Rhinolophus ferrumequinum: one gene and its partners. The protein of the gene in region 4 purifies or fractionates together with the protein of the main gene of each other region. This does not show direct contact. Links are inferred from orthologs where the notes say so. Each region holds a gene or a part of one and is shown on either strand. Other genes may lie near its edges. The genes, in order: TRIM33, SKIL, SMARCC2 and SMAD2.

Region 1 (7,644 bases), on a different chromosome or scaffold from region 4:
GCAGCAAGAGAAAAGCAGTTAGTTACCTACAAGGGCACTCCCATAAGACTGTCAGTTGATTTCTCAACAGAAACTTTGCAGGCCAGAAGGAATTGGCATGAAACATTCAAAGTGATAAAAAGAAAGGACCTATAACCAAGATTACTCTACACAGCAAAGCTATCATTTAGAATCAAAGGACAGATACTTTTCCAGACAAGAAAAAGCTAAAGGAGTTCATCGCCACCAAACCAGTATTACAAGAAATGTTAAAGGTACTTCTTTAAGAAGAAAAAAAAAAGACAAAAAAATATGAGTAAAATGGCAATAATTACTGGGGGTGCCAAAAAATGTATACAAGTGTACACTTTGGTCAACGTTTCTCAAGCAGTCATTTGCTGTAATCAGAAGTGTCTGGATGCTGATGGTAACCACTTTGAGAACCTCTTGTAATTGCAGAAGTCAAACATGACTTGTATTCATCTTTTGTTATTGGTATTGAGTATTACAATTATATTGAGTATTACAATTTTAATAGTTTTCCTTTCTTAAAATGTGTATACATTTTTGTGGCACCCTCTGTATATACCTATCAATAATCACTTTAAGTTGATTAAATGATCCAATCAAAATACATAGGGTGGCTAAATGGCTAAGAAAACAAGACCCGTATATATGCTGCCTACAAGAGACTTCAGCTTGAAAGACACACACAGACTGAAAGTAAAGGGATGAAAAGAGATATTTCGTGAAAGTGGAAATGAAAAAAAAAAAATAAGCTGGGGTAGTAATACTTATACCAGACAAAACTGACTTTAAAATAAAGGCTGTAACAAGAGACCAGAAGGATCCAGTAATTCCACTTCTAGGTATTCGTCCAAAGAAATTCGAAACACTAATTTGAAAAGACATATGCATCCATATGTTCACTGCAGCATTAGCCAAGATCTGGAAGCAACCTAAGTGTCCATCAATAGATGAATGGATAAAGAAGTGACACATATAAAACGGAACATTGCTCAGCCATAAGAAGGAAATCTTGCCATCTGCGACAACATGGATGGACCTAGAGGGATTATGCTGAGTGAAATAAATCAGACAGAAAAAGACAAACACCAAGTGATTTCACTTATATGTGGAATGTAAAAAGCAAAATAAATGAACAAATAACACAGAAACAAACTCATAGATACAGAGAACATTTTGATGGTTGCCAGATGAAAGGGTTTGGGGGGATTGGAGAAGGAAGGGAAGGGATTAAGGTACAAATTGGTAGTTACAAAAATAGTAATGGGCATGTAAAATATAGCTTAGTTATTGTAATAACTATGTATGATGTCAGATGGGTACTAGATTTGTTGTGATCACTTCATAAGTTATATGTCTAATCACTATGTTGTATACTTGAAATTAATATATGTCAACTGTAATTGAAAAATAAAAATATTTAAAAAATAAAATAAAATGGATGCTGGAGTTTGTTAAACCAGTTTAGTGTTTACTGTCCTGTTGGATAGATTTAAAAGTAACGTAATAATTTAGAAATATTAGTCGTAAAATATCAGAAATTACACTCTTTGCAACTATTTACACTCATGATGAAAATTTGAGTCAACTTATGTTTGAGGGGAGAAGATAGTTTTTCAAGTTCTTTTCAAGGGCATAACACTTAGAAAATTGAGGACCATTTTTGTGTATGACCTTGTCTCCTCAATTCTCTTATCTCATGTTCTACTATTCTTTCCCTTATTTAAGCAACTCCAGACACACTGACTCCTTGGTGTTCCTGACAAGCCAAGAATCTCCATCTGTCTCAGGACCTTTGTACTTACTGTTTGTGCCTCTGCCTGAAACACTCTTCTGCAAGAGAGCCACAAGGTTTGTTCACCTATCAACAGAGGCCTTCCCCAATCCTCTCTAATCTCTTTTACTATTTTTCTTCATAGCATTTATTACTCCCCAACATATATTTTCAATCTTCCTCCATTAGTGTCAAAGGAACTAAAACAGAGTTTGGAGGCTGTGGGGACAGAGCCCCAAAAAGCAGTTTCCAGGCTCTCGGCCTCACATAGAAAGGTGCTGGCTCGGGTAGTAAATGGCCATCGACTGTGATCAAATGGCCATCAGCTGTGGCTAGTTGGCCGTCAGCTGTAACCAGTGAGCAATTGTCCACTAATATAACTGCTGTGGCTACGCAAGCAAAAAAAGGGGAGCTAGCAAGAAGATGGTGGCTGAGCCTGCAAGCGGCACAGTGAGGGTTGAGAATTGTGTTGCTCCTGGTCCCTGTGTCTCCAACCCAGCCGCCAGAGAGAATATAGTGGTATGACTCCCCTACTTATGGCTCTGTGGATGTTCCTTTTTGGCCTAGCCACATCCTGCGTTCTTGTGTGGGGAGTGGGACCAGAGACCCTGCAGGCCGTCCTGTGTGACACTTGGCGTAGTCGGCAGGATCCCCCGCAGGCCGCCCCGCATGACACATGGCGCAGTGAGCAGGGTCCCCCGCACGACAGAAGCTTTGACTAGAAATAAATGATTTATTCAAGGGTCTTCAGGTTTGCAAACTGGAAACACAACTAGGCAAAAACCCAGAAGTGTTCCAAAGAAGAAAGAGTTCTTATAGTAAAAAGTGCATTTTTGAGAATCAGTACTGCAGCAATAGTCAGTCCTGCACCTAAGATTGGTCCAGGACGGTTATCAGTCAGATGTCAGGTGGTCTTAATTGGTGAGTACTTTGGGTGTAATTAGGGTTATCTGGAAGTCGGATATATGTCCAGGCATTCCTGCAGGCTTGTAAATTTCAAAAGTTTAAATTCACAGGCTAGTTAAAACAAGAATAGAATTGTTTCCTCATACCAAAATCTACTTCATTTCAGTAATTTAGCAGCTTGACTATAAGTGATTCCATTTTATTTCTTCACTCTATTTCTCTTTAGATTGCAAACTCTTTGAAGGTAAGGATCTCCTTTGTCTCGTGCTGTAATCCTAGTTTCTGAAACACTACCTGATACATATAGTAAGAGGTCAGTATTTTTGAACGAATAAATGAAAAATGTTTCCAGGTGCCTTCTTTTAAGGACTTATACCAGCTCAAAGAATAAGTTTCTTGGGAACACTGTCAGAAGAAAGCACTTCATGACCCTAACATTAAAACAGCTGTTGCACTACATAAAAATCCCAAAGTACGTTTCTCAAATACAGATAACCCTTTCTGAAAGCTTCTATTACCAACATTTTTAGGGCATTTGTAATTCAACTCGCGCCAGGACACTAAGTGGGACTCCCAGAACATAATATTGGTTAGATCGGTGACTCCCCGAACTGATACACATCAGAATCAGCCGAGGCGACTTTTCAACATCCATCAGCCATCTCCCCCACTTCCTGATGCAGGTCTGGGGTGTGGTCTTGCTATCTTGGCTTTGAAAGAGCTCCTCAGTTGATTGGTTTTCCGATACGAAGCCACGTCTGAGACTCAATCACCTTAAAAAGCTAAAAACAGAGTTTCTTCTTCCCCGGGTTTTTTCAGCCTATTTCTGGCAGGCCCCCATTTAAAAAAAAAAAAAAAAAAAGGCCTGCTTACTTTCCACCGAGGGACAATCAACCACAAGAAATGGGCAGGTTAAAAAACAGAGACCCAGCAGGTCTGTACCTCCGGGCCGGGAAGCCTCGGCGTCCCACCGTGCAAATGAGGTTTCCGCGGAGGCGCGCCCACCTCTGGGGATGGCGTCGCTAGTAGGGCCACGCTCGCTCTGCAGGAACCAGCCCTGGCCTCCTACCCTTCCCCACTCTTCTCCCCACACCACCGTCGCATCTGAGCTCACAACCACCTCTAGAAGGAGGAATTCAGCGTAAACGGCCTCTGCCTTAAAAGCCAGCTGAATCGCGGCGGCGCGGACGCAACGCGCGGGCCCGGAGGTCGGGAGGGGAAGTTAAGACCGCTCCGCGCCCGCGCCCTGAGTTCCCGCCTCCCTCAGAGGACGTCCGTGCGTACGTGCGCGCGCACCGCCTGGCCCACTGCAACCGCGCGGCGCGAGGGCGGGGGCACCGCGTGCGCGCGCGCTCTCGTCCGTTCGTTCGCCTGCTCGCTCTCGGCGTCCGCTCTCGCTGCGGCTGCGGCTGGGGCTGGGGGCGGCAGCGGCGGCGCGGGCGGCGGGCGGCGCGGGGCGGTCCGGCGGGTTCAAAGAGGAAAACATGGCGGAAAACAAAGGCGGCGGCGAGGCTGAGAGCGGCGGTGGGGGCAGCGGCAGCGCGCCGGTAACTGCCGGGGCCGCCGGGCCCGCGGCGCAGGAGGCGGAGCCGCCTCTCGCCGCTGTGCTGGTGGAGGAGGAGGAGGAGGAAGGCAGCAGGGCGGGCGCGGAGAGCGGCACGGCTGGGCCCGACGACGGGGGGGTGGCCGCGGCCTCCTCGGGCTCGGCCCCGGCTGCCTCAGCCCCTGCGGCCTCAGTGGGCCCTGGAGTTCCCGGGGGGACGGTATCGACGCCGGCCCCCGCTCCAGCCTCGGCTCCCGCTCCGGGTCCCTCGGCGGGGCCGCCTCTTGGACCTCCAGCCTCACTCCTGGACACCTGCGCCGTGTGTCAGCAGAGCTTGCAGAGCCGGCGTGAGGCGGAGCCCAAGCTGCTGCCCTGTCTTCACTCCTTCTGCCTGCGCTGCCTGCCCGAGCCGGAGCGCCAGCTCAGCGTGCCCATCCCCGGGGGCAGCAACGGCGACATCCAGCAAGGTGAGCGGGAGGCCCTGTCCGAGGTTTGGGCTGAAGGGGATCTGCGGGGCCGAGGAGGAGGTGGGGACGGAGGTGCTGGGGCCCAGGGCTCCTAGGACGGCGCGATCCCGAGGAGTCTAAGAGGTGAAAAGACACGGCCCCTGGGACAGTTTCCAGAGGAGCTGGACCGCCAGAGATAACGCGGAGGGTGAAGGGAGGGGTGCAGGCAGCCGGAGACGGGGGGAGGGGACACCGCTGCCGGGGAGGTTTGTGATGTTCGCGTACGGGCCGGGAAGGCATGGACTCGGGCCGAGAGCAGGTTCGTGAGCTCTTGGACCCGTACTGGGGAGAAAAGGGGGTGTGGGAAACGGCTGCAGAGAAGCGTTTGGGGAAGGAAGGCCCGGAGCCGGGAGAGGTGTTGAGGAGAGAGGGAATAGGTAAGAGATGAGGGCTGTGAGTACGAAGTACCTGGTGGGAGAGGACTTGGTCTGTTCCAGACTAGGGGAAAGGAGGACTGGGATGAAATAAATAGAGCAGGATAAAGGGCAGTGGAGAGCTTGAGGTTAAGAGGAGGCATCTGATAGAAAGTAATTTTAAGATGACATTGGAAAAGAGGAACTCTGGCAACGAAAATGACTGTGAGGGCCCTGCATGGTTAGGGGAAAATCCTAAGGTTTAGGGTTGAAGGAGAAATGAACTTGGAAGGGAATTGGGAATTGGGGAGAGCTGGGCACGGATTTTAGTTCCTTGTACATTAACGAGCCCCTAGTGTTCTGGACACTGTAGGATTGACTAAAATACTCAATGAGGAGTTCATTCACGGTCTAACGGGAAATAAATGTAAAACCTACAGCACTTGAGGTGGGTACTTGCTGCAGTGGTTGTGGCACAATCAAGAGAAGGTCAGGAAAACGGCACTGAAAAGGAAACTCTTGAGCAGGGTTCTTGAAAGGTAAGTAGCTCACTGGATTGGAGAGTATTCAGGGTACAGGGCACGTTACACATCCCTGAAGCTAAGAGATGTGGAAGGTGATTGGTAGAAATTAGGTTGGATTGATGGGCTGAATAGGCAATGCCTTATCTGCAACCCTTGGGACCAGGTGTGTTTTAGACTTCAGAATAGTTTGGAAATTTTTCTTTTTTGGGGGTAAGGTTAATAATCCTCCAGTAGGGTCTGGGTTAACACATTATCAAACACATTACTATTTCTGTAGTGAAACATACAAATATTACACCAATGGGATAGACAATAAATAGTCTTCTGCAATTCAGGGTGAGTTTTGCGAATTTATGAAAAGAAATTTCAAAGCTTCTAAGTTATAGAACCTGCAGGTAAGGATTGTGGACCTGTATTAAGGGTTTTGGATTCATCCTGTAGAGTGTATCCTGTACAGTGTAGACATAAGGGAGTCCCTGAAGGAATTTTATATGAAGAGAATAAAAGTATTGCATTTGTGATCCACAGAGATCACTTGGGGGCATGTGGAAGGGTAAAGGAAGTCAAGGCTGGAGGCAGGAGCAATTAAGAGAATCTTGGCAGTAATCTAGGTAAGAAATTAGCATTTGGAATGGGTAGTAAAGGACTGATATCAGGTGTTAAGGAAGGGAGCATTTTGCTATGGGAGAAAGTAGCTCTGGGAGAAAGCAGCCATGGGAATTGTGAGTAGCCGTGGGAATGAGATTGGGGGGGGCACATTAAGATTGGTGTGAGGGAGAGACAACTTGTCTAGGCTGAGTTCCAAGTTTCTTGTTTGATGGGTGTCAGTGCTATTAATGCAAATAAAAGAGTTCAGGCATACAGCAGGTGTGTGTGTGGTGGAAGAGGGATATGATGATTTCAGTTTTGGGTGTTTTGGATTTGAAGTATTATTGAGACATGCAGGTGAGGATGTTACGTTAAGAATAAGCGTTTGATTGATGGAGAAGATACAAAATGATAATGGGTGTGTAACTAACTGCTCGTGGCCTCATGAGTGTAGTGAGACATGCGGGATTCACTGTTCTTATGGGAACTTGGATTAGGTGGGAGATTGGAGGGAACACAAGATGAAAATTGTGTTTGATTTATGTGGCTGAGGGACTGAGGTAGTGAAATTGGCTCTCTGATATTTCTGTAGGAGAGAGAATAATAGTCTCTAAATTCCCTCTTCATTTCTCTGTCCTTTGTTTTTGAACTAGGAGAAGTAAGTAGATGGGACGAACTACTTTCAAAGTAATGTAGCTTTCTAACTAGTATCTAAAATAAATTAAGTCTGGAAGTCACAGTGTTTTCAGGCAAGGAGTCTAGAAAATAATTTGTTAGTAGCTGTATTAACTTCTGTGTGTATGTTTCACTTTGCTCTTTAAAAAAGCGAACATGCTGTTCTTGAAGGAACACTGGTTTTGGAGTCAGGGGACATAGTTCTGCCCCTTAATTGTTTTCTGGTTCCCTCAGGTTCATCATGTCTCTGTCCTTCTGTTTTTTTATCTCTAAAATGTAGCTAATAGGCCTTCACTTATATCTCACTAAAGAAAATTAAATAATAAACGTGAAGATGCTTTTATAAACTGTGAAATGCTTTTCAAATGCAAGGTATTATTGACCAATGTGTGATTCCATCTCTTGTCTGGGAGCCATGGATGGTAGCTTAATTCACCATCTTAAGTGGTTCTGAAACGATCAGTGTATTCCCCTCCCTCCTAACTGGCCTTTTTCTGTTCCTCTGACACACCAGTCACTCACCCTGTTAGCTGTTCTCCAGATGTGGCGGCTCCTGGACCAGCAGCAGCAGCAGCAGCATCTGCGAGCTTGTTAGGAATGAACATTCTTGCACCTCACTCCAGACATTCTGACTGGTGGTTTATTGTAACAAGTCTTCCAGGTGATTTTGATGAGTTTGAGAACCACTGTCCTTGAGTGAAGGACCCCTCATTTCAAATGTTGCCTCCTGAGAAAGGCTTTCACTGACTGCTTTTTTTAAAAGGCTTTA
Region 2 (8,161 bases), on a different chromosome or scaffold from region 4:
AGGACTTTTAAAATATGAAGCTGGTCTGACGTACACCTGGAACAATAGATGTACAACTCGTCGCACACTGTATTTATTTGCTGGAGTGAAAATTCTCGGAGAACAGAATTTAAGACTTGGGGCAAACAGAGTCTCTTTTCTCCTCCAACCTGAAAACAAGAAATGGACTCCCCTTCCAACACGGTCTGGGTGAGTTCTGTGGAGCTATCAGAAGGGATGAGCAGTGGACCAGGAAGAACTTGAGGAGATGGAAGAGGCAGAAATACAGTAGGCGACATGCTTTCTTGGGAATAGCGAGCAGAAAATGCTGCCGGTCCACCCAGAGAGCTCTGACTACTTAAGTGGAATTGTGCCAGAGTGTGTTTCAAACTGGGATTTAAGTGTAAAGGCTCAGGCACAGAGGTACAGCTTCGCTTGACATGCTCTCCGTCAGTTTCCATTGGCGCTTCATAGTCCTCCAGGTGTTCCTTCTTTACTGTGGGCATCTTGTTTATCATCATTTTTCCATTGGCATGTCTGTCTGTCATCATTTTTTTCACTGGAGGGCTGCCATCATCTTCCATCCCATTCATTTTTTTATTTGAGCCCTGAACCAAGGAAAATTTTGTTTGTAGGTTTTCCATTGCTAAAAACTATTATGTTAAATAAGTAAATGTGAGATTTGCATTGTTAGCTGCTTATTTGCACAAAGAAATGTATACCAATACTTATGATAGCTTACTCTCAGAGAAAATTTGAATTTCCAAAAAGAGATCTCCCTAAATTACTCAATAGACTTTGCAACTTTGTTTTGGTTCTTATACTCTAGTATAATTTCACTCCAAGTGCTATAAAATTTCTTGTCTCCAAATATAAATTTAAAGAGGCACACCTCTGAGGAAGCCTTTCTTTCTTTTTAATTCTTCAGATATGTATTAAAAGTTACCAATTCTCTCAATTCAAGATTTCCAGGTTCAATGCAATGGTTTGGTTTGGTTTTAAGCAAAACAAGTGAAAAGTTTATGCAATTACTTGTGTCATCCAAACCTAGACACAAAAACAAGTCAAAATGATGCACCCAAATTTAACTTCTGGCACCAAGGACACCAAAAAAGGAAAAAGTATCTTCTCTAAAAATGATGATCTGTCATTCTGTGTTGACAAACTGAAGGCTTGCATAAATTGTCACACCAGTAAGAAGAGCCTCTGACTCCACTTGTACTTCTATAATTAAAGGTGATTTAAAGAAAAATTGCCCAGTTATCTTCAAGGATTACGTTCATTCTTCTTTTAATTACTCTGAAAGAGAAGGGGGATGGGGGAAGAGTTACATTTGAATTTGCTCCAGAGGCCAAAGGGTCAGTTTGAAACCAGTTTCTTAATCTTAAACTGAGTTCACTTTTCCAAAGGTGACACTTGAGTGATTTCTTTAAATCTAACACCAGTTAATGAGAACTTTCATTTAAATAGAAAAACAATTCGGAGAACGGGTAAAGGGAGCAATAATACCCTCAAAAGGAAGAGGAGTACTCCAACTCAGAACCGGAAGAACCTTAAACATATCATCTCAGCCAAAACTCAGTACCAGAGGCTTCTCAGTTATGCCATTTTAACTAAAACAAGGCAATACTTCATCGCTTAACTTAAAAAAAAAAAAAACACCAATTTCCTCCCCCCAAAATATCAGATACGAATTAACATATCTACCGTATGCAATTAACTTACAAGCTTAAGTGCATTGATTCATCTAGTCAGTGTGCTCTTTTTCTGGAAGGACTGGAGATAAAAATTAACTTTCCTTTAAAAGGTTAGTGAATTTGCTTAATGGAAGCCAAAAGTTATAGCCTCCACGCCTGGGCATCTCCATCCTTGAAGAAGACTAATCCGGGACAGAAAGCACAAGGCAGACAGACCTCACAAAGAATGAAAATGGAGGAAGGAAAAAGATTCTTCTTCTACTTCTCTCCTGAGAGAAAATCCAAAAGAAAACCAATAAATAGAAAATTTTGCCTCCCAAACTCCCAGAAATTTATCTTAAAACAAATCCAAAAGATGAAGGACCAAGGCCACTAGTCAACGTACTGACTGACTCTCGCCCACCACAGGAACACCTCAGCCAACGCAAACCAAGGGAAGAGGGCAGGAGGCATGACCTAGAATGGGGGAGTCCCCCAAACCCTGAAATCCTCCGCCCACGCAAAGCCACCCACCCGTTTCAAACCCGAGGGGGAGGAGGAGGAGTGGAAGACAGGGACCCGGGACGCCTTGGGGTGTGCAAGGGACTAGTGGGAAGTGGTGGAAGTGCAGTCCCCCAACCCCCACTCGCGGTCTCAGGAAACCCCAAGTGCCATCCTACCCCGGCCCCACTGTGGAGGCCGCGGGGAGGACTGTGGAAATCCCCCGTGCACCCTCTGCCAGGGAAGTTCTCGGGTGTCACCCCAGCACCCCTAAGGCTACACCTCCGCCCGTCGGGGGCCAGAGGGAGAAGGGTCAGCGAGCGGGTGGAGCGCCGACCAACCCGGTCTAGCCCGGGGCATCCCCGCGGAGCGCAGACTCGTTGCGGGGTGACCGGGGGTGGGGGGAGGGCGGTGTTGACGGGTGTCCCAGTCTCCGGGGTCCCGACGGCTCGGGTCAAGTGCAGAGCCCTTCTCCGGCCCACGCCCACCGGCCGGAGTCAGCGAGGCAGGATCCGCCGTAGGACACCCGCCCCCGCGCCCCCCTTGGCCCCGACCCCACCCGGGACCCGCGCATCCGGACCCCCGACTCCGGCCTCCACGCCCGGGGAAGCTCGACGAGCTTTGTTAACTCCCCACTACCCCCGTCGCTGCCGTCGGGCTCCCCGGGGGCCGCGCGCCCCCTGCCTCCCGCCGCGTCCCCACAGCAAGCCAGGGCCGCACCTGTGCCCGCCGCCGCCGCCGCCGCTCGCCTGCTCCCTCGGCTGTGCCGGCGCCGCTCCGAACCCCACACACATCGCTACACACAGCCCTCTGACGTCACCGAGCCCTCGGCCCGCCCACGTCACTGCGGAGACACACGGCTTCCCGCAGACGCCGCCGCCGTCTCCGGCCGCCCGGGGGAGAGCGAGGGCGGCGGGGAGGAGGAGGGGAGGGGAACGGAGCCAGCGGCGGCACCGCGCGCGCGGGCCTGCCACCGTCGCCTCACGGCTTCCAGTTCCTCGGGAACGCGCGCGCCGTCTGGCCTATTGTGGCTCCTCAGGGCTCCCCCCGCCCCGTCGTCTTGCGCGCGCGCCCCTCCCCCCCAGGCGCGCGCCCGGCGCTCCTGGCCCCGCGCGCCGTCTGGGCGGCTGGCGCGCGGCGCTGTCTGCGGTGCACCCGGCGCAGACAGGATGTTCCCTCCCCGCCCCACCCCCACCGTCGCCCTCTCTCCTTCCTTCCTCGAGTCGCCCAGCCGGCTGTCTGGGGCCGCCACCGCCCCGCCCCCGCCCCACCCGCTGCTCTGTGGTGACGGGCCAGACCCGGGGGCGCCCTGGCCGCTCGGCCGCCGAGCGACAGGGAGAGAGGGGGCAGGGCAGCCGCGCCGTGCACTGTGCACGACCCCAGCAGCCGGCTGGGCGGAGGCAGGGCCCGCCGGGCCGAGCGCTGCCGCCCGAGGTCAGGCACGGGCGACCCTCCCCCCGCAGGGCCGCAGCTGGGCCGCCCCGCCCCGGAGGCAGCCGGGTAGCGGCCGCCCTGCGGCGCCCCCCTTGTGGGCCCTGCGAGTCCGGGCTGCACCCCCCCCGCCCCCGCAGGGCCTCCCGCCTGCGGACCGCCCAGCCAGCTGCCTGCGCTTCGCCCCACCCTGGCGGCCCCCGCCTTGCCTGGGCAGCCTCCGCCCAGACGCCTTCCCCCGACTGACCTCCATCCGCCTTCGGGCCAGGCCGGAGGGCTGGCCAAAGTTCCGGCGAAACCGGGAGAAAACATTTTTGTCCCTACTTCTCAGCCTCCCTCCTTATCAGACTGCTCTCTCAGTTCCAAAAGGTAGAAATTACATGTTTCTACAGTGTATACTGAGGGTTTTTTGTTTTTCGTTTTGGAGGGGAACACAAGATGTGACGAGGAAAGATACGACGTAAGAGCTTCCGGCTCTGACCCTCAGGGTGGTCCTCCAGGTCTGTGACCCTCCCTGTCTGTGTCCCCAGGATAGGCAATTAGCATATAGAACTCTGCCGATCTGCTCCGTCATATTTCGAAACACCAAGAAATCCCCTTTTCTCCACCCCACCGCAAGATCAGGAACTGAAATAGTCCACCACGTCGCAATGCACAGAATTCAGAAGAGTCGAGCTTTGTCCCTTTTTTTCTTTTTGCCCATTTTCGAACAATTTCTCCGGGTTTTACTGCTTCGAGGGTCCACATTTGGAGCCTGCCGTAGTTCCCCCCCCCGTTTTCCTCCCAACGTACCTACCAAAGGCTCACAAGCCTCTCATTACCCCCAATCCCAAGTTTCTCTCCTTAACGCCCCCATCGCAGTGCTCCGAGGTCGTGCCCCCTCTCCTACCCACCCACCCCCTTCCCCTGCTTCTTGACTGCCTCCTTTCCTGAACATGAATAATTCCGCAGCACTTCCCATCTGTTATTGCCATAGAGACAGAAGCTCGGCAAAGATAATGATGTTGTGTGCAGAGCTAGTGGGGAGAGAACAGCATCTGCGAGTCTGGGGGATAGATTTTCTAACCGCGAGAATATTCAGAAGGCCCTGCTGAAGCTCTGATGTGGAAGACTGGACAGTCCTGGGACTTGGCATCAGGTCAACTCTTGGCAAGTGACTAATGTCTAGTGAGAAGAAACAATTTTTAGAAACCAAAATGACAAATTTTTTTTAAAAAGTGATTCCAAACTGCAATTAATAATACATGTTTAGTACTCATTTTATCAGCGATGAAAATAATTACTTGCTAGCATGTCCAAAGGCCTAAAGACCAAAATAAATTGATAGTAAATAGACTTTTAAGAAATCAAACACATTATTCCCTGACCTGTTCTTTTGATTTGCTTTCCCCAGGAATCTGTTTTTTTGAAAGATCTTTTGTGCCAGTGATTTCACGTACAATGGTTTGAGAAATAATGACAGGTAAATGTGGCTAGAACCAATCAAGCTTTGAGGGCATTTTTTTTTTCATTATTCATCAAAGTACAAAATGTACCAAATTAAAATTCACTTTGCCCTTGAATTCCCAAGGTCTTGGCCTCAAAGGTACAAGTTTGAAGCAAGTGAAACTAAACAGGATTCATTTACATAGATCGTATGCATATGGGGATGCTCACACATTTTTGCAGACCTACTTAAGGGTTTTCAGAAATTTTCAGTAAAATTGATTGTGTATGTAATGTGACTTTAAAACACTGAAACAAATGATAATGGTTCTTTATCTCAGAAACAGAACTGAATGGACTCAGAGAATACAGTCCTTTGAAACAATACGCACTGTGAGGTAATGCATATTGTAATTTCCACATACTGATGGTCTTCATCGGTGTTGAGAAGTCAACCTAAGTATTGGTTAGTAAATAGCTATTAGATGAGTTTCACATAGACTCTGACCACACTTTCTTGACTTGCCGACAGATTCTGAGCAAAGCCACTGTGAGAGGGTGGGCCTGTGTGCAAAAGAGTTGGAGGGTAAAGGGACCCTCCCTACCCATTGTCTCATCTTCCATTAAGCAGTACAAATAAAAGATCCAAACTAACTGGTACTAGGTGGTCTAGAATTTCTTCTTCAGTAGTTATGGCCATCTGGTAATAATAGAAACCAAGAATTTAGAGGTTATAAATTCCAAGACCAGTTCTGCCCTGTGACCTGAGAAATGGTTTATTTAGGGCAAATGATTTGGAGCAAATGCTTTCTTCTTGGCCCCATTTACTGATCTGTTGATAATGACCTAATATTAATAATGAATATGAAAACAAAAAGGATAGGATAAAGAGCAACCAAAAAAAGATAAAGTGGGGCCGGCCTGGTGACTCAGGCGGTTAGAGCTCCATGCTCCTAACTCCGAAGGCTGCCGGTTCGATTCCCACATGGGCCAGTGGGCCGGTTCAACTCCTCGAGTCCCACAAGGGATGGTGGGCTGCGCCCCCTGCAACTAGCAAGGGCAACTGGACCTGGAGCTGAGCTGCGCCCACCACAACTAAGACTGAAATGACAACTTAAAGCTGAACGGCACCCTCCATAACTAAGATTGAAAGACAACAACTTGACTTGGAAAAAAGTCTTGGAAGTACACACTGTTCCCCAATAAAGTCCTGTTCCCCTTCCCCAATAAAAATCTTAAAAAAAAAAAAAGAACTTGCCACTCAAATGCAAGGATTGCAAGTTGATTGACAGCTTTAAAAAAAACAAAGTATTTTTATATTTATGAAGGAGGGGAAAGAAAAAGTCAAATAAATGTTAATCTAGCATACAGTTACCGGCTTGTGTTTTTGTTTACACCTTATGCTCTTTTCCAAGGAAGAGAAACCAGTTGTCACTTGATGGTTCTAGTGCTTCTCCTCCCCCTTTCCTTGATCCTCAACAAAAACTACCTTTTTGAAAAACTTTTTTAGCAGCAAGTCAGATGCTACAAAGTCCTTTAATTTCACAGAAGAATCTCAACTATTTCCTTTTCCATCTCATTTTCTTTTGTAGCTTTTCATCTATTTCTACTTGTCAGAATTATAATGCTGATGATGATGATGATGATGATGACGCTTTTTAACTTCCTCATAGCATTTTAATCTTTTTCTTACCTATCCTTTTCCCAGTGCACTTTACTCCCCATATTAGTTTAATGCTATTGTGCCTGCTAGTGCAAAGTCCCTTTTTCATCACAGACTAGGCTTTCTCATCGGGGCTTCTTCTCCTCTTAGCTGCCAAGTCAATACTGGAACTACAAGATCCCAATTCCCATTTTCATGCTTTAAATAAGATGAGAAACAGATGCTTAAAAACTACTAACCTCCTCTTCCTGAATAGTGCCACACAACTGTTTTTCAGGTTTTAACTTGGGCTCTGTGATATTAGAAGGGAAGTAAGAAGAAAAGAATAGCCAGAAATGGTAAAATAGAGAAAGATCATGTTAGAAATCACTGAATTTTCAATGTTTAAATTGCAATAAACTGTAAAATCAATTAACAGACACATTAAGTGTATTTCATTGTCAATTCTAGGAATTTCATGAGTGTTTAGAAAGTTTGGCATAGTTTGATTTATTGCAAATCAGGGACATTTCCTCTGTTGCTTTTTTTTCCAAAAATAAAGGGGAGGAGTCATAATTAGCTCTGATGTTGCCAAGCCTGATTCGAAACCTGCAAGTTGAAGGTGTTGTCAAATATATAGTGCAGGACTATAAGTAGCTCAAAGTGCTTCACTCTTTCCTATGAGATACATACAAGAAATTCCCTTTTCAACAAAAGAGTAGAGGCGGGCTTAGGTTGCATGCCAAACCACTTTGCTGATCAGCTGCAGAACAGGCGTTAGACCCAAGTACATTTGACCCACCTCAGTGAAATTTCCATTCTTCATTTCCTCACTGCTCTTTGTGTTCATTCAAATAAGCTATAAGGACTGATTCAGATTAGCCAAAACAGAGCAAATATTGAAATATATAGGTAGCATTGTACCAAGCATTGTGGTATATTTATCACAACCCACAGTAATACTTATCCTTACTATGTGCAGTGCCCTCTGATACTTTATCCTGCTCCATCCTGTGTTTTTGTATTTCAATTCACTACTAATGCATTGCAGCCTACAGTTTAAGAAACAATGCATGAAAAAATAATAATGTTAACATTTATATAGTGGTTACTATTTAGCTCTATTCTAAGCACTTCACATGTAAAAACTCATTTAATCCTCACAACAACCCTATGAAGTAGTGGCTATTATTACCCCATTTTACAAGTGAAGAAACTGGTGCAGTTGTGCTCAAGGTTACATAGCTAAATAAATCCTTCCCATTGAATTGTGAAAAATATTACACATGATATTCAAATCTGAATTCTATGTTGGCTCAATCTGGATGTAAAGAAGTAGGATTAAAGTTTATGTTATTAAAGACCCCAAGTAGCCAAAGAAATCATAAGAAAGAAGAACAAAGCAGGAAGTATCATACTTTCTGATTTCAAGCTATACTATAAAGCTATAGTAATCAAAACATTATGTTACTGGCATAAAAACAGACAAATAGACCAATGGAACAAA
Region 3 (7,947 bases), on a different chromosome or scaffold from region 4:
GTTAGGGTTAAAGATGTGGCTTTAGGAGTTACCTGCCCAGAGGTGATCAAGAAATTCTAGGAATATAAACATTAAAGGAAAGAACAGGAAGAAGCCTAAGAAGGAGACCTGGGAGAATTCCAGGAGTAATCTAGAACAAAATCTGGAAAATAGATAAATGATAAACTTGGCTAATGCATCAGCTTTTTAAAAAAGTAATTTTGAAGTAATGAATCATTTAAATGTGGCTCATAAACTAGCTGTGAAGGAGTTCCAGAAATGTTTTGTACAATGACAGCATTCCTGAAACAAGTGTCAGTTGAGATCATTTTAGCTCAAGTCCTCTAATGATTTGCTTTACTGGATAAACTACAGAGATCCAAGCCTCTTAGCATTTGGAACAAGTCAACAATTTGGGATTATGTTAAATTCTTGCGTGTTAGTTTCTCCCCCATTAGCCTTTTAGTTACATAAAAGCAATTCTGATTAAGATCTGAGAATTTGTAGCTTTGATCAGTTTACGGTGGGATTAGCTAGTCTCTGGTTATGAGGTAGACAGAAGCAGCTTCATGAAAGAAGGAATTAAGCTAGCACCTGATTAGATTGGGGTCTCTTACTGGGAAGAATTAAGGATTAAAAAAAAAAAAGTGATTTAGGCAGGGTGTATTGATAATTGGAGCATGTATTTAATCAGATGGGGCGCTGAAGTTCCTGGACATGGGAATAATATGAAGAAAGCAGTGTTTTTAGAGATTTAAGTGTGGCGAAACTGGGGCACTTAGAAGGCCACTGGAGGAAAAAATGTCAGATATTTCTTAAGGTTGGAAACTAGATGGAATTATGAATAGTAGCATAAATGGAAAAGATTGAGAATGCGATTCTGGGAAAGGAAGAGAAGTTTTGTTTGTGTTTTAGGTGACATTAGGTCAGCTATGTAGACATATAGGCAGTTGGAGATAGAGGACCATGGTTTGGCTGGGAGGCCATGCCTGGAACAGTGGCTTGGGATTTTTTTCTTGGGAAGAGGGAAAAGAATGAAGTTTTAGTAGAATTCCACAGGAAGAGGGAGAAAGCAAATGAGATGGAGAAGGTGTTCTAAGAGAAAAACAATGAATACAATGTCTCTGAAATCCATTAAGAAATCAATGGTTTCAAACAGCAAAGGTTTCTACCTTGGGGTATTAAGATAGTATGGAGCTGGAGGCAGAGGGTATACATTTCATTCAAGAAAGGAGGTAGAAAATTTTTGGAAGTGTCAAGTGAAAGTGTAGTTTTGTTTGTTCTGAAATAAGGATTGATTCAGTGGAGTAGAATTTGAATGTGTTATGGAAGGTTTATTTATGGAAGGTTCCCTAGGAGGTTGAAATGAGTGGGATTGCAAGCCTAGACGAAGAAGGTTATTTAAGGGCAGACAGATGAGCAAGGCCAAATACTGAATCAGAAACTGAAGAATACCAGTGGGTAGAACGTAATAAATATGTAAGAATGGTGAGAGAGAGGTGGGCCTGATCGTGCAACACAAAGAAAGAGGATTTGTCTGGATGGAAGGGGAAGGATGAAAGAATCGGGGAGTTGGGGTGGGCTGTGGATATAGTGAAAATTGGAAATTATCTACTGTTCATGAAAGTCCAACGCCGTGGCCTCTAGTCCTCTAAAATTACAAGGGAAGCATTTGAGAGCAAAAGGTAGTATCTCCCAAATACCAAACCACCTCTGTCTGTTTCTGTTCTCCTTCTCAGTTCAGATCCTCCATTTTGTAAACCGTGGAGCCTTCTTCCTTTCACAACATAGTTGTCGGTTGCCCTCTGCTGGTCCTTGTTGGTCTTGGCTCTCCAGATATTTAAATCTGAGAGCGTGTGCAAAATTGGATGGTAGAAAGCTGAGCACTGAGCTAGTAAGATTCTATTACAGTACATATTTGATCACATCTATATAAGACCTAGTACAGGAGATACAAACAAATAAAACACACAGTCCTAATTCCCAAGAAGCTTAGAGTCCAGTCTGAGTGAAGATTAAAACAAGTACATATAAATACTGTAAAAACATCTATTTACTCAACAAAATTATTTTTTTATTGAGGAGGTTATATGTGCCAAGAATTTACATCTACAGGGGAAGAAAGACTTCACATAGTAAGATTAGGGCGTAGGATGTGGTGAGTGACAGGTGGTTAGAGAAGGCTTCCCAGGAGAACCAACATTTAAGTGGAGACTGAGTAGAAGGTGAGGATGAGCAAAATTATTGCAGGCAGAGAACAGCATGAACAAATACTACAGTAGGAATTAAAAGATTGCCATGGGTGGAATGTAGAGAATATGGAAGAGTGGTGAGAGAAAAGAGACCAGGTCATGAAACACCAAAAGCAGCTATGGAAAAGTTGAAGGTCTCGGGCATGCTTTAGTGGAGCTTTGCATATATTAACTTCTGTAGTCCTCACAGTGACCCCTATTTTCCACATAAAGGCTCCAGCAAGTGGTCCAGTCTGCACTCACTCCTGAGAAAAGTGGAGAGACTTGAACATATTTAAGAGGTAGAACATAATTTGTTTTTATTTTAATTTTTGCAGAGGCGTGTCAAAGGAGATGACTTGCATGCAATCTAGTGGATGGTGGTGGTAGCCTGATAGGTTCCAGCTGGAGTAATCAAGAGCCTCAAAGAGAAGGGGTAAAAGGATGTGCAAATGGAAAGTGATCATTCTGTGGATTGGAGGGGGGGAAGGAGACAGTGGTGAGGGTGACCTTGGAAAGAACAGCGTGAGCAATGGTATGAAGGCGGGAAATTCCAAAGTGTAAATGTTTAGAAAGCTCTATGAATTACCCTTGAACCCCCTGTCCTTTGGGGATTCTTTTTGGAGAAGATGCTGCTGTACAAAAAATGAAATACAAAAAGAACATCCTCCACAAGTGTCCTAGATATCCCCACAATCAGAAATTGTGGGTAGGAAGAACCACGGGAAGTGAGTATAGCAGCGTGACAGGTTAGAGAAGGGATTAATTCTCTAGCTTGGTTAACTACCTGACACATAATGAGGACTCAATAAAAAGTGATAATTATCTTCCCACACTAGCTCCAGCTGGATCTGCAGTGTTGGTTTCAGTAGGTTACTCTCCCTAGCTCTGTACCTGAGGTGCATCTCCTCGAGGAAATCCAAATGAGAGAATGCCCTGTTTCTTGGGTCTTCATTTGTAATCAGACCTACAAGATGTGACTTCTGGTCATGAAATCCAGAGGTGCCCTCTTTTCCTGGAAACGCCAGTTTTGACTTTTATAGCACAACAGGCATTTACATACCCAAACAAAACTTAACCCTTCTTCAACCAAATCCTTTGCTATTCCCTCCCAAAAGCATGAAACAATGTATGCCAAAGCTACAAGTCTGAAATTGCCTTGTATTCTAGCAGCCTATAAGGTTGTGCATAATTAAGCTTCCGTGATCACCCTCATCCCCCCCCCCCCCAAATCCAAAGGTGAAATCTTGAGATCTTCTGGCTTTTCTTTCCCAGACAGAAAGGAAAGTGCACGAAAGGCACGTGCGAAAACCAGGGATTCCCTTTATACTTCCTGAAGTGGTAGCGCGGCGGAGCCCCGGAAAAAGCTAACGTCACGAACAGGATTCGAACCTGTGCGGGGAAACCCCATTGGATTTCGAGTCCAACGCCTTAACCACTCGGCCACCGTGACTTCCAAAACCGCTCTTCTCCTCACACTTACAGCAGGAATCGGCATTGCGGGGAAGCCGTGCCGTTTCCACATACCCATAGCCACAGACCAATACATATATAACATCTTGTGACCCCCCCAGCCCCCGCTCCTTACCTCTCTCTACGCCACTCAAAGGAAAAGAGACGGGTCTCAAGGAGTGCAAAGCTATTTAGGAGGTGATGGCGAGACCTGCAGAGGAAGCACTTGGAGGGAAGGGGCTGGGCCCCGAGGGTGGCGGCTAGGGGACTCCTCGAGTTAAGGAGTGAAAAGGAGTGCTGGGACAAGGAATTAAAGGTGAAGAAAACTTAGGGTTTAAACTGGGAACTCCTGGAGTTGGAAGGAAGGACGAGGACGAAACATCTTGGGGAAAGGGGATTCCTTGGGATTAGGAGGTCCGTGGGGTTAGGAATGTGCAAGGTGACGACCACTTGGAGTGGGGGATGCCTCAGACGATGGGCATCCCATTAGGATAAGATACAGGTGCCACTTCCCGAGCAGAGAGGCAAAAAGGAAGAAGATTCCACGTCAGGTCAAGAGCGGTCTCAGGAGAGTGGGCGCCCCCTCCAGGAAGCAGACACCTCGCCAAGGCTCCCTCCGCCGCCGCCGCCGGGGAGGCCGCCAGGGTCGGTCCTGCGCCCTGCGCTCCGCCGCCGCCGCCCCCTGCCGGCCAGCAGGGGGCGCTGCGCGGGCCGGGGCCGGCCAGGGCGGCGGGAGGCGGCTGCCGTGGCGGCGGGAGGCGGCGGGAGGCGGGCGGAGGAGGAGGTGGAGGAGGCGGGAGCTGAGCTGAGCGGGGCGGGCGGCGGCGGCGGGGCCCGAGCCCGAGAAGATGGCGGTGCGGAAGAAGGACGGCGGCCCCAACGTGAAGTACTACGAGGCCGCGGACACCGTGACCCAGTTCGACAACGTGCGGCTCTGGCTCGGCAAGAACTACAAGAAGGTACGCGGGCAGGCTGCGCAGAGACCGGGGGCGGGACAAAGGGACCGCGGCCCCGCAGCGCCCCGGGATCCTGCCCACCCTCTGGCGGCCCGCGGCCCGCAGCCCCTCCTCCGCGGTCTCGGGAGCAGCCCCCACCGCGCCCTCCGGCCTGCGCCCCTCCTCCAGCCTCTCACCGGCCCCCCCTCCGGCCTGGGATTCCGGAGAAATGCTGCGCCCTCTGCCCCTTGTTTTTCTTCACTGCCCCGGCCGGTCTCGGTGCCAGCAGCCCACCCTTCCCTGAGCTATCGCCTTCCGGGCTTTTCCGGGAGAGATGGCCAGCGGTGGACCCGGTGTCGATCCCCCCCAATCAGCGTGCCCGCCACGGTGCCCGCCAGAGCCCCTCACGGAGCCAGGTACCAGCAGGGCTGAGGCCTCCCTGGTGCTTTGTGTACGTTCAGAGAGAGATGATGAAAGCAGGAGGGTTAACAGCCACAGAGCAGGCCCTTGGCTGCTCCATCTGCCTGAAAAAGGCCCCCACCCTGAGATCACCTGTCTGCCATTCGTCCCCACCTCCAGCCAAGCGACAAGAAATCCTCTTTGGGAGCCAGGGTATAGGAGTTCCTTGGCAGAGACCCCTTCTTAAACCATTCCTCAGTTGCACAATGCAGTCTCCCTCCACCTGGTCTTGAATTGCCTTGGTTGGGGGTTCAGAGGCTAGGGCACTCTTTATACCTCTAGCCCCCAGCACCATAACTGGAGATAATAAGGTAGTGAACAAAGAGTTCAAGAAGCCTTGCCTATCTTTTTTACCGAACCTTTTCCTGGTGTTGTCTTTGTCATTAGGCCTTGTTGAAAGGAACATCTAAACATATGGTTTTTCTCTGGAGATGGTCTGCCTCACTTCCTTCTCACTACCCTGAGAGGGATTCTGTTTCTGGCTTTCCTTCAGCTCCCCAGTTCTTCCTGCCCAGCTTTGCAGCCTGTCAGAAGTGTGATGAGTGGTTTAGGAGAATGCCCCTCTGTTCTTGGTTATGAGCTCTCAGAGGTCTCTCTGGGTGTCAGGATCCTGACAAATAGCTGCTGGGTCTGTGGCTTGTCTGCACCCCAGTTTGAGGCTCTGGTTCCCAGGCTTCTACCTTTGACCTTTTGGAAGGGAGATCAGTCTAGGGGCTTAGTCTCTGGCCCTTAGGGGAGTGACAGCCTGTGACCTGGTTCAGCTTTCAAGCTCTGAGCTTCGTCGTTTACCTTTTCCTTCAAGGATCTCTTTACACCTTGCACTGAGAAGAGCACTCTTCTCTGTGATTAGGGTTCAGGAAACGGTTCAAAAGGCAAAGAGAAAGTTAGCGTCCTGGCTCAGTTTTTAATTAGAAGGCTAGGATGCTAGGTAGCATACTATGGAAATGTTTAAGAAGGCCCAGGGTTACTTGTCTCAGATAAGGTTTCCTCAGAAAAGACAGGTGTTGTCTTGCTCTTTCCCACTAGGCTAAGTAGTAGCTGGTCCTTGTCGTTTAGGAGGACCTGCAAAGACATTTGTGCCCTGTTCCTAGCAGAAGCGGAATGCACAAGCTCCCTCTCTGTTTGCCCAAGCTCCCTCTCTCAGTCTGTTTTCCCTACCTCGTTTCCGTGCACCTTTCTTATTAGGCCACATTATAGGGGGAATCTTGGACTTCCACAATGTTACCCCAAGAAATACACTATTGTCTTGCTTAGAGCCTCAGAGGTATTGCTTTCATTGCCTGTCGAATCTTCAGGATTTTACAACCCTCAGTGCTTTTGGCTAGAGAGTTAGGGTCCTGCAACTCCAATTTCAGGGTGTAGCCAAGGCCCCCCCTTGTCCCCAGCACCCAACACTGGTAGCCTGGGCTGGAGGCAGCAGAATTGTAACTTCCTGGTGAGGGGCGTAGAGGGCCTCCCTTCTACCATTTTCGTTATAGAAACTTGACATGTGGGGGAAGAAGATACAATTTTCTCTGCCCCAGATGCTTCCAGAGCTCCTGGGAAAGTAATAAGGGAAATGGTGGACAGTTTTTCTGGGGTCTATTTTTCTTTTCTTTCTCTCTTTTCCCCAGTATATACAAGCTGAACCACCCACCAACAAGTCTCTGTCTAGCCTGGTTGTACAGTTGCTACAATTTCAGGAAGAAGTTTTTGGCAAACATGTCAGCAACGCACCGTTAACCAAACTGCCGGTGAGTGCAAAAGCAAGGGGGGAATCCTCCAAACTGGGGAGGGAGTGTTTTGTAAATTTCATGATTTTTTGATATTTGGGTAAAGTTTTTAGCATCTCTATCCTTGGTCAGCGCATTACTGCCTTGGTCTAGTCCCCAACTTACCACTCCCTTTGTTTTAGTAATACTTTGTACAACAGATTATCTCAGAGTGTCAGGTCAGTGCATGAAACTATTGTGTTATGATTAAAAGGATATGAGATTTGAATTTACACAGGTTTGTGTTCAAATCCTGGCTCTGCCAATTGGTGTCTCTGTGATCTTGGGTTAAACCTTTTGGGTCTCGGTTCCTTCATCTTTAGATGGGATTAGTATACCTACCTTGTAGGGTTTCTGTAATGGTCAGTGAGGTAACCCAGTAAGTGCTTGGCACAAGGTGGCTTTGTGAACATTGGTTTCTTCTCTCCCCTCTCCCAGGCCACATGATACAATGGCACGGGGTTTGTGAAAGGGTTGTTAAGTAACAAGAGAATTGTGGATGTAACTGTCATATACTTCTTCCCTGTCTCAATTTTGTAGATCAAATGTTTCCTAGATTTCAAAGCAGGAGGCTCCCTGTGCCACATACTTGCAGCTGCCTACAAATTCAAGAGTGACCAGGGATGGTGAGATGCCCTCTCTCTATGCTTCTTACATTTAGTTTAGAGGGAATTTCCCCCTTTGATTCCTTGGGGTCGTTCTGGGGTGGGAGAGCATAGGTAGACGTCCTTATGAGTCTCTTACTTTGCTACATCAGTAGGCCTGACTTGCTAGGTCAGAAAAACGGCTTGGAGTCACAGCCAAAATAAGTGTCCAAAGTGAGTGTGAGTGTGAATGTGTGTGTATCAGTGTGTGTATTGTAGAGGAAGGTTAGCATCTCAAGCTTTCCTTTGTCCTTTTGGACTGAGTACAAAGTGAATTGATATCGATAAACCCTGGTGATTTTTGTCACCAGCTGTGAGCAGGATTGCCTCCTAATTTCCCATGTTAAAAAGTCACATACCCTAACGTCATCCCCAGACCTGAGCTATACCACTCACTAGATTATCACCTCTTCACAAGGCGGCGTTACGACTTCCAGAATCCATCACGCATGGACCGCAACGTGGAAATGTTCATGACTATTGAGAAGTCCTTGGT
Region 4 (8,064 bases):
TCTTTCCCAAAAAGTGGTGGAAGGATGGATCTGGAGACAGACATGTTTGTCTACTATTGGGCATTTAGGTATGGATAGGAAATTCGCCCCTATTTTCACTGCGACATAGTCAGTCAGGATATATCCATAGAAAGTAATGGTAACAGGGAGATTGAAGACAGTAGCAAAGGCATGTGTGAGGGTGGAGACCAGGGACAGGTAGAAGAGTTAGTGAGCAGGGTCAGAGCAGGAAAGGTAGCCACTATGTGTATAATCCCTGGCACTAAGTGGCCATAGAACTTTGGAGAAGACTGGTCCTTGGTTTCCTCAGCTACAAAATAAGAGCATTGGTCAAGCTCCGTGATTATATGAAAGCAAGGAGGAGTTGATACGAAACTGCTATGTAGCTATATATTTTACTCATTGAAATATACCATTGAAGAAGTCTTTAGGACCCATTAATAATTGGCTCTCTCCCACCATTAATTAATTCTGGCCACTCATCAGCTAACATAATTGTCAGATTCCTTCAGCAAAATGTCTTTTTCAAAACTGAGGACTGTTTACAGTAAGGACAAACAACTGGGGCTCATTAATTCAATCATTAAGACACTGATTATGCATCTATTGTCTACTCTAGTCAGTTATGTTAAATAAGCTTTTCAGTCTTCATCAGAACAATTATGCTAATATGCATGAAATTTCCCCAAGAGTATTATACCTCCACACACTTATCCTGCCTAGCAGCAGCCTGGTTCAGTCAATATTGTCACACAGAGATAATTATAAATAAGGCATAAGACCCTACTGTTGACATATCACTACCAAATTATCCCGCCTCGCAACAGAACTTTAAATAATTTGTACATTTGTTTTTTTCAAGGTTTAGACATTGGCCCATTTAGTTTTTTACTAAAATATGTAGATCTTAGATAATATTTAAATGCCCTCATTGCATTGGATTTGTAATTTTCCAAATCATATTTGAGCAATCACTGGATTAGCTATCAATGTTCAATCGATCCAATGATCATTTATGCCTTTATATGTGCAGCCAAGAAATATTAATTATCAGATGTCTGGAGAATGATGAGAAATATAACTTGTTTTGCCAAGTATTTTTCTCTCAACCAGAGCCAACTTCTCTCTCAATTTCTCTCTCTTTAAATCTAAAAGACACTACCTGTATGGTTTGTATTCTTGAGTGATTTTGGCCATAGAATAATAATTTTCCATCGTGATCAACCAATACTTTTATGACAGGCACATAACAGATACCTGGTAAACACTTGCTAGATTCAATTCTTTTTTCTTGTGTTTTCTTATGTATGCTTCATTCTGTTTCCAGCATTTCCCATAATGTGTTAAATAGTTTTCTTTTTTTTTTAAAGGCATTTCTGAGATGCTCTTTTTTAAAATAAATTTTATTGGGGAATATTGGGGGACAGTGTGTTTCTCCAGGGCCCATCAGCTCCAAGTCATTGTCCTTCAATCTAGTTTTGGAGGGCACAGCTCAGCTCCAAGTCCAGTCGCCATTTTCAATCTTTAGTTGCAGGGGGCGCAGCCCAACATCCCTTGCGGGAATTGACCTGGCAACCTTGTTGTTGAAAGCTCACGCTCTAACCAACTGAGCCATCTGGCTGCCCCAATAGTTTTCATTTTTAATAAAAACTAGCATGTGAATAACGAATGTGTGTGTGTGTGTGTGTGTGTGTGTGTGTGTGTGTAGGTGTGGGTGTAGGTGTGTAGAGGCAGATGTACACATCAATATAAGTTCATTTAAAACATAAAATTTCATTGTACTGAGATAAAAATCCAACTGGTGTTGGATTTTTTTCCATTATCATTTACAACAACAGTAACCCCATGCTTTTGTTCTTTACAATTTTTACTTAGGTTATCTCATTTAATCAGTGTCCTTTCAGTTGCAAATAACTGGATCTTCCCTTAAGATGTAGTAATGCCCATTGCAACTTAGTTCTACCAGGAGAGCAAATACAGAGATTAGATGTTGACAAGATAATCAATAGCTGTATTGAGAGCAGTTACAAATTGGAAGGATGGGGCAAAGCTGTGCAGAATGCTCGCAGACCTATGACACACATAGCCTTCTCCTGCTATACAAATGTTGTATTTCACCTTTCTTCAATTACTTAGTATTTTGGTAAGGGTGTAGGAAGACAACTGAGAATGAGATGCTGTCCTTGTACTTCAGAAATGTACGATCTAAATGGGGAGACAAAACGTACATACATGAGAAGCTAAAAAAAACTGCTCAAGACTAAACTAACAGATCAAGACATTAATTAAAGTAAATTCATGGTATGTATATTCTTCTGACCATGAAAGAAAATTCATAGCTGAGTGATATCCTTTGGGTTGGAGTAACCAGGAAGGGCTTTCCAGATTTAAAGATGAGATGGACTATGAGTTAGGTCTTTTGAAAAATCAACACATGGATATACTTTTTTGAAAAATTCAAACTACAGAAGAAATAATGATGAAATTTGAGTTTTCCACTCGTGACTTCCAGGTTCCTTTTCCAGAAGCAACTACCATCACTATTTTTCTTATGTGTCTTTCCAGTACATTTAACTACTTTTAAATTGATTCTGAATTGATTCTGCTTCCATTGATTTTGCAGTGTCATTAGTAATGAAGGGTTAAACTTGGTGTCTATCCACATAAAAATAAAATTCACTCAATATAATTTATACAGTAGGGACCTACTGATGGTACCCTATTTGAGGTACCCTAGTGGATTTTCAAGTTGATTGTTGCCACGGCAATTCCTGCTCCATCCGCCTTCAGTTCTTCAGTTTCTGTCTTGACCCAGTTTCTGTCACTGGTTTAGCTGCATTTCTAGCAGAGGGGACAGTACGCCTGCTCCCGTTTCTAAACCCTTTGGGGACTGCCTTGGTAGCCGATTGTCCCTTCTCCCCTTTCCTCAATCCTACAGGTCTAAGAAGGCGTCCTAAATAGAAGAGTTAAGGACCCAAAGACTGACACTTTGGAGAGATGGTCTAACTTAGACCTCAAGCATATCATCCACTTAAGTCACATACCCTTCAGAGTACCTAACTCCCATCCTAGTAGCAGATTCGTCTGGAATCCCAGCCAGCCCTGCTTTTGTTTCTACTCCTACTCACCCAAATGGACACTCAAATGTACACTGTGATCACATAGGAGAAGATATTTGTATGACCCAGGGTAGCTTTTTAAAATGGTTGTCTTGTACTAGTAGGAAGAAGGACCAAAAACCAGAAACAGCCTTTCTATTTCTAAACTGAAGAAGCCTTTGCCCTAGACACCCTCCCTGGTGGCTCTGGGAAGTGGAAGCAGAGGCTTAGGAGGTGGAAGAGCTCCACCAATTGGCTTCCTGGGTGTCCCTCACAAGCTATTTTTAAAAAGGGGTGAGTAGAGCTGTCTCTAAACTGACAATGGAAGAAAACCACCCTGGAGGTCAACTTTTGAAGGACGAATTTCTACTAAGTAGGTTCATTTTAGCATAAGTGCAAGCAGGCAACAGAAGGGAAGAAATGTTAACGATTATTTATTTTAACTTAAAGACTTGTGCTGTTCACTTTGATACTTATTTTATCACCACACAACTACATTTGAGTAGCTATCATTGCAGGTGAGTTCCATTTGCCAGAGATCACAGATTTGGAACAGAGCTGAATTCAAAACTACAGTTTGCCTACCTCCAGGGTTCATGCTCTTTATCACAACCTTTCCATGAGAAAAGTACTTCGATGTTTGAGGAGAGAGACGGTGGAAATGAAGATTTTGTAAGACTCAGGGAATGGCCAAATCTCTCCAGAAGGCACCTTCCTCAGGGAAGCCTTAATTTCTGAAAAGAGGGTATACTTCAAGAACTTTTTGAAATGGTCATTTGGTACTTCCTGCTTACTGAGATGTATTCTTAATGCCTCTTTCCCGCTTGAGTCCCTAATGAAATCCATTAAGTAAGGAGCACATGCGACTGAGCGCTGGACAGGGAGCCAAGAAAACCCGTGTCTTGTCTCTGCTACCAACTACCTGTGTGAAACCTTACTTTCTCTTCCACTTCTATGGTGTTCCCTGCCTAACGTAGTAAGTGCTTAATAAATACTTCAGGTGATTGATAGTTGGGGTCAATATTTCAGCAGAGATTAGGGTGTCCTAAGGTAAAAGCAAGTTACGCGGGGCCCCCACCAGCTTTGAGCAGCCAGTAGAAGCTTAGAGCTCTGCAGCGCAATGTGTGAAGTTGGGCCTATGCAATTTACCGGAACAGCGGAGAAATGAAGAGGAAGATAATCCAGCATTTGAGGGACATCGTGCTTATCTTTTAAACTTTACAAGGATCGTTGAGATCATGCATTATTAGCACCATTTTTAACAAAGAGAGAAACAAGATTCAGATTATTAACAAAACTACCTGGCATTCCCTATCCTGGCGCTAATGCCCATAGAAGATCCCCGCCCTGCGCTTATTTACATTTCGGACCCCGCCCACTCGCCCGTTCATTTGCATATGGGCGTGCCCAGTGTGGGTCGGGTACCGCGGCTCCCGCGGAACCCTTTTTATGTCTATGGTTCGTCCAGTCCTCTGGTCCAAACCCGGGCCTTCCCAGGGGATGAGCACGTGTCCACTCCCGGCTTGGCTGGAAGGTGGGACAGGCGGCGGCCCCCAACAGGCTCCACCCAATGGCGTTGGAGAGGCCGAGCAGGGGTCCAGGGCCGAGGCAATGAGGAATGGGTGATCGCCCGGGGCTGTTTTCCCAGCGCGGTAGGATGCGTGCTTTCTCCTTCCTCCCTTCCTAGAGCCTCTCCTGGGAGCGCGCGGAAGACGAAGTCGGCCGAAACCGCGAGCGTCCCACCCCACCTAGTCCTCCGCCGCCGACCGCCCGCCCGGCCGCGCCTCGCCTCACGCTCTACGGGGAAGGCGGGACCAATCAGCGAGCGACGTCTCCCTTCCGATTCGAGGCCCTCGACGCGCGGCTCACACCCCGAGCACCTCGCACGCTGATTGGCTGCGCGCGCCGCCGGTCGGGCCCGGGAGGGCGGGGCGGGCCGAAGGGAAAGGAGGTGGGGAGGTAGTAGCCGCGACTCTCGGAGCCCTGCTCGCGCTCTGGCCCTTCCCGGGCACTCAGCCTTCTTCCTTCCCTCCTCTGCTCGCCCCGTCTTCCGTGCACGGCGAGCGCTGCGCTCGGCCGGCGTGCCTCGCGCCCTAACGGGCGGCCGGGGGCGCCAATCAGCGGGCGGCAGGGTGCCAGCCCGGGGCTACGCTGGCGAATCGGCGGGGCTCGCGGCCCGGGGTGGGAGGCGGGTCTACCGCGCGGCCGCGGCGGCGGAGAAGCAGCTCCCAGCCAGCAGCCAGCGAGCGCCGAGCGAGCCGCCCGGAGGTGGGTGCGCCGCGCCGCTGCGGCCGGCGGCGGAGGGCGCAGGGCGGAAGCAGAGGTGGGCTGGCGTGCGCGGCTGGGTAGGGCTCGGTCGTCCGGGCTGCCCGGGGTGTGGGGGATGCGGGCGCGCGCCTGAGGGGAGGAGGGGCGGCGGCGGCGGGACGCGCGTCCCCACCCCCTCCTTTCCGCGGGCGGCGGCCGGGCTCGCGCCCCCTCCCCGCGCGCCGGGGCCGCGGGCCGGGCACTGGTTAGGGGGCGGGGCGGGAGGCCGGGCGGCCGCGAGAGTGTTTTCAGTTCCGCCTCCAATCGCCCATTCCCCTCTCCCCTCCCAGCCCCTCATCCCGTTCGGAAGAGGAAGGAACAAAAGGTCCCAGACCCCCGGCTTTTACCGGGCGGGACCCGGAGCCTCGGTCCAGGTAAAACCGCGGCGCCCGGTGGGCCCTTGGGGTTAGGGGTGTGTTTGCGTTGGGCTGGGGTCGGTGAGGCTCGCCCCATCGCACGGCCACTGGAGCTGGTGGCTGGGGTGTGGCGAGGTCGGGGCAGCAGTGCGCCCGGGCCCTCGGGGTGCGGGAACGCGGGGCTGGGCAGGCCGAAGGGAAGGGGTCCGCGCCCGGAGCTGCCTGCTGCCGGGTCCGGGGCGGGGGCCTGCTGGGGCCCTTCCCCTCCGCCGCGAAAACACTGGGTAGTTTGTGATTCTGATTTTCAAAGCCGGAGGGACCGAGCTCTCGTTTCGGGAGTTGTTGGGAAGCTGTGTTAGTAGCGTGCAATACTTTGCTTCCACTTTTTTTTGGTCGTGTAACCTTTGTTAACCATTATAGTCTCAGGGTTCTGAATTGCTTGTGTGTACTCTCACACAAACATGCACACGGCTGATACTCTGTCGAGCTCCTTCTCTACTCACTTGTAAAAGTTGCTCTGTGAGTGGAGCCTGTTAGTTTTTATCACACACCTTTAGAAGGCACGCTAATTGATCTCATGTATTTCAAACTTGGTTTTCAAATTTGCAACTTTAATTGTTTTGTTTTCTCCTGGGGGGATACTGTCCTTGGGTTGGATACTTTTGTCCTTTACTTACTTAACCCTTATATGGTTAATGGTTTCCTTTTGGTCCTAAACAAACGAAAAACAATGCCTAGGTTGATTTTGTTATTCCTTCCTCTCGACCCTTTAAATAGCTAAATACTACCAGTTTGTTGTCAACTAAACCTTTATTTAAGAAAACGTCTCCAGGTAAAATGAAGTTGGAGGTAGCATTTTCCATCAGTCATGTCTTGTTACAGTTTGGAATATCCTAAATTTTAAACTTTTTAAATGACACATGTAAAGTAATTGTTGATAAATAAAAGATCATGCGAACTTACTTGGAGTAATTTTATCTTTTCAAAACTGGTCCCTGAAATTTGAATTAACTTCCAGGATCCTGAATGATTCTATAATCTTAGTTCCTTTTCACTTTTTCTCTGATTTTATATGAATTGAACCAGTACCACTGATTGTAAGGATGTTTTTCTTGAGTCTAATAAGATAACAAATTTGCTATTACTCTGAAAATACCTTTTCTGTTCTAGTTTTGACTTGCTTTAAAAAAAAAGTATACTCATAAATCCAGTTAAATGAAGATTGAGGAGTTTTAATGTGAGTAAATAAGCAAATGTAGCACAGAGATGGGAGAAATAATGTGAAGTGGATTTCATAAATGTATCACAGTTTGAGGATTTTTTTATTTGCCTTGGGAAAACCACACAGGAAATCAATAGAATTGTTTGACCAAAAGGTCATTTAGCAAACGTTTATGGTAAATTCAGAAAGTAACACTGATTTTAAAGTTCCTTAGTTTTTGCCATAAAATTAGTTGTGGTAGTAAATAAGAATAATTCAAGTCTTCTGGGCATTTTTAAGGTGAGTGCCCACTTATACTCTTCTAATGTCACAATTAATTGACTTTAAAGTAGTTCATTGGCTAGTATTAATGTAATGTGATTGGAAACATCCATTTCTGGGCTTGTTTTAGTAAGAAATTGTTCTTAGAAAGAGCTTTGTTTTTATACTTTGTAGCTATACCTTTTAAAGTGATTTCACATTGTAGGTGTTCAACAAAAGTTTGGTTGTTCCTAGTCATAAGTGGTCAAATCTACGATCTGTAAGGTTCATTAAAAAAATAGCTGTGTAAGAAACTGCAGGGTAATTTTCTGTTTGTGTCCTGTCAGACTTGGTATGTGTTTTAACTCTTTAAGTAGGGATTTGGGGATGGTGTCATATATTTCAGCAGAAATTCTCTAATAGAAACAAAGGTTTCTACTGAAAGATGGCAAAGGTCCTCTTTTCATTTTCATATTGAAGATTAGAATCTTGCTGCTGCTGTAAACTTCACATTGGGGGGAAATATGTGAGTGTAAAACATTCAGTTTAGCTGCATAACCTGCAGATTATAGACCCGATTTCTGTATTTTGCGGATATTTTCAGTTGTGGGTTTTACAAGGGTCTGAATGCTTTCCTTGTTTGGTTTTTATTTTGTTAAGTTTTGTATTTTAGGATTCCAAAGGCAGGCTTCGTTTTGTAGCAGTTTTTTTTTTTTATACAGGTGTCTTTTGTAATGCATATAAAAGCTGTATTTAGTGCAGTCTGGCAGATGGAGGTTTATTCATATTCTTGGGACAAGAGTCATTTTTAGAGGATGGAGAGGGGCATGTCTTTTAGATT

The links.
Region 1: the proteins of SMAD2 (region 4) and TRIM33 purify together in Homo sapiens (affinity purification with western blotting; 7 studies listed by BioGRID and IntAct, with this or other methods). This does not show direct contact. The link is inferred for Rhinolophus ferrumequinum from reciprocal best matches to the Homo sapiens genes SMAD2 and TRIM33.
Region 2: the proteins of SMAD2 (region 4) and SKIL purify together in Homo sapiens (affinity purification with western blotting; 8 studies listed by BioGRID and IntAct, with this or other methods). This does not show direct contact. The link is inferred for Rhinolophus ferrumequinum from reciprocal best matches to the Homo sapiens genes SMAD2 and SKIL.
Region 3: the proteins of SMAD2 (region 4) and SMARCC2 purify together in Homo sapiens (affinity purification with mass spectrometry; 3 studies listed by BioGRID, with this or other methods). This does not show direct contact. The link is inferred for Rhinolophus ferrumequinum from reciprocal best matches to the Homo sapiens genes SMAD2 and SMARCC2.

What each region holds. Positions count from the first base shown.
Region 1 is NC_046305.1:45,233,571-45,241,214, reverse strand, and holds the start of TRIM33 (E3 ubiquitin-protein ligase TRIM33), read left to right. Parts: upstream 1-4,094; 5' UTR 4,095-4,170; coding exon 4,171-4,696; intron 4,697-7,644. UniProt on the Homo sapiens protein: Acts as an E3 ubiquitin-protein ligase. Promotes SMAD4 ubiquitination, nuclear exclusion and degradation via the ubiquitin proteasome pathway. According to PubMed:16751102, does not promote a decrease in the level of endogenous SMAD4.
Region 2 is NC_046285.1:71,964,303-71,972,463, forward strand, and holds the start of SKIL (ski-like protein), read right to left. Parts: upstream 3,217-8,161; 5' UTR 2,877-3,216; intron 1,279-2,876; 5' UTR 624-1,278; coding exon 1-623. UniProt on the Homo sapiens protein: May have regulatory role in cell division or differentiation in response to extracellular signals.
Region 3 is NC_046293.1:55,535,942-55,543,888, reverse strand, and holds the start of SMARCC2 (SWI/SNF complex subunit SMARCC2), read left to right. Parts: upstream 1-4,436; 5' UTR 4,437-4,510; coding exon 4,511-4,621; intron 4,622-6,669; coding exon 6,670-6,789; intron 6,790-7,347; coding exon 7,348-7,433; intron 7,434-7,869; coding exon 7,870-7,947. UniProt on the Homo sapiens protein: Involved in transcriptional activation and repression of select genes by chromatin remodeling (alteration of DNA-nucleosome topology).
Region 4 is NC_046302.1:39,315,663-39,323,726, reverse strand, and holds the start of SMAD2 (mothers against decapentaplegic homolog 2), read left to right. Parts: upstream 1-4,661; 5' UTR 4,662-4,750; intron 4,751-4,951; exon of another isoform or gene 4,952-5,421; intron 5,422-5,695; exon of another isoform or gene 5,696-5,779; intron 5,780-8,064. UniProt on the Homo sapiens protein: Receptor-regulated SMAD (R-SMAD) that is an intracellular signal transducer and transcriptional modulator activated by TGF-beta (transforming growth factor) and activin type 1 receptor kinases.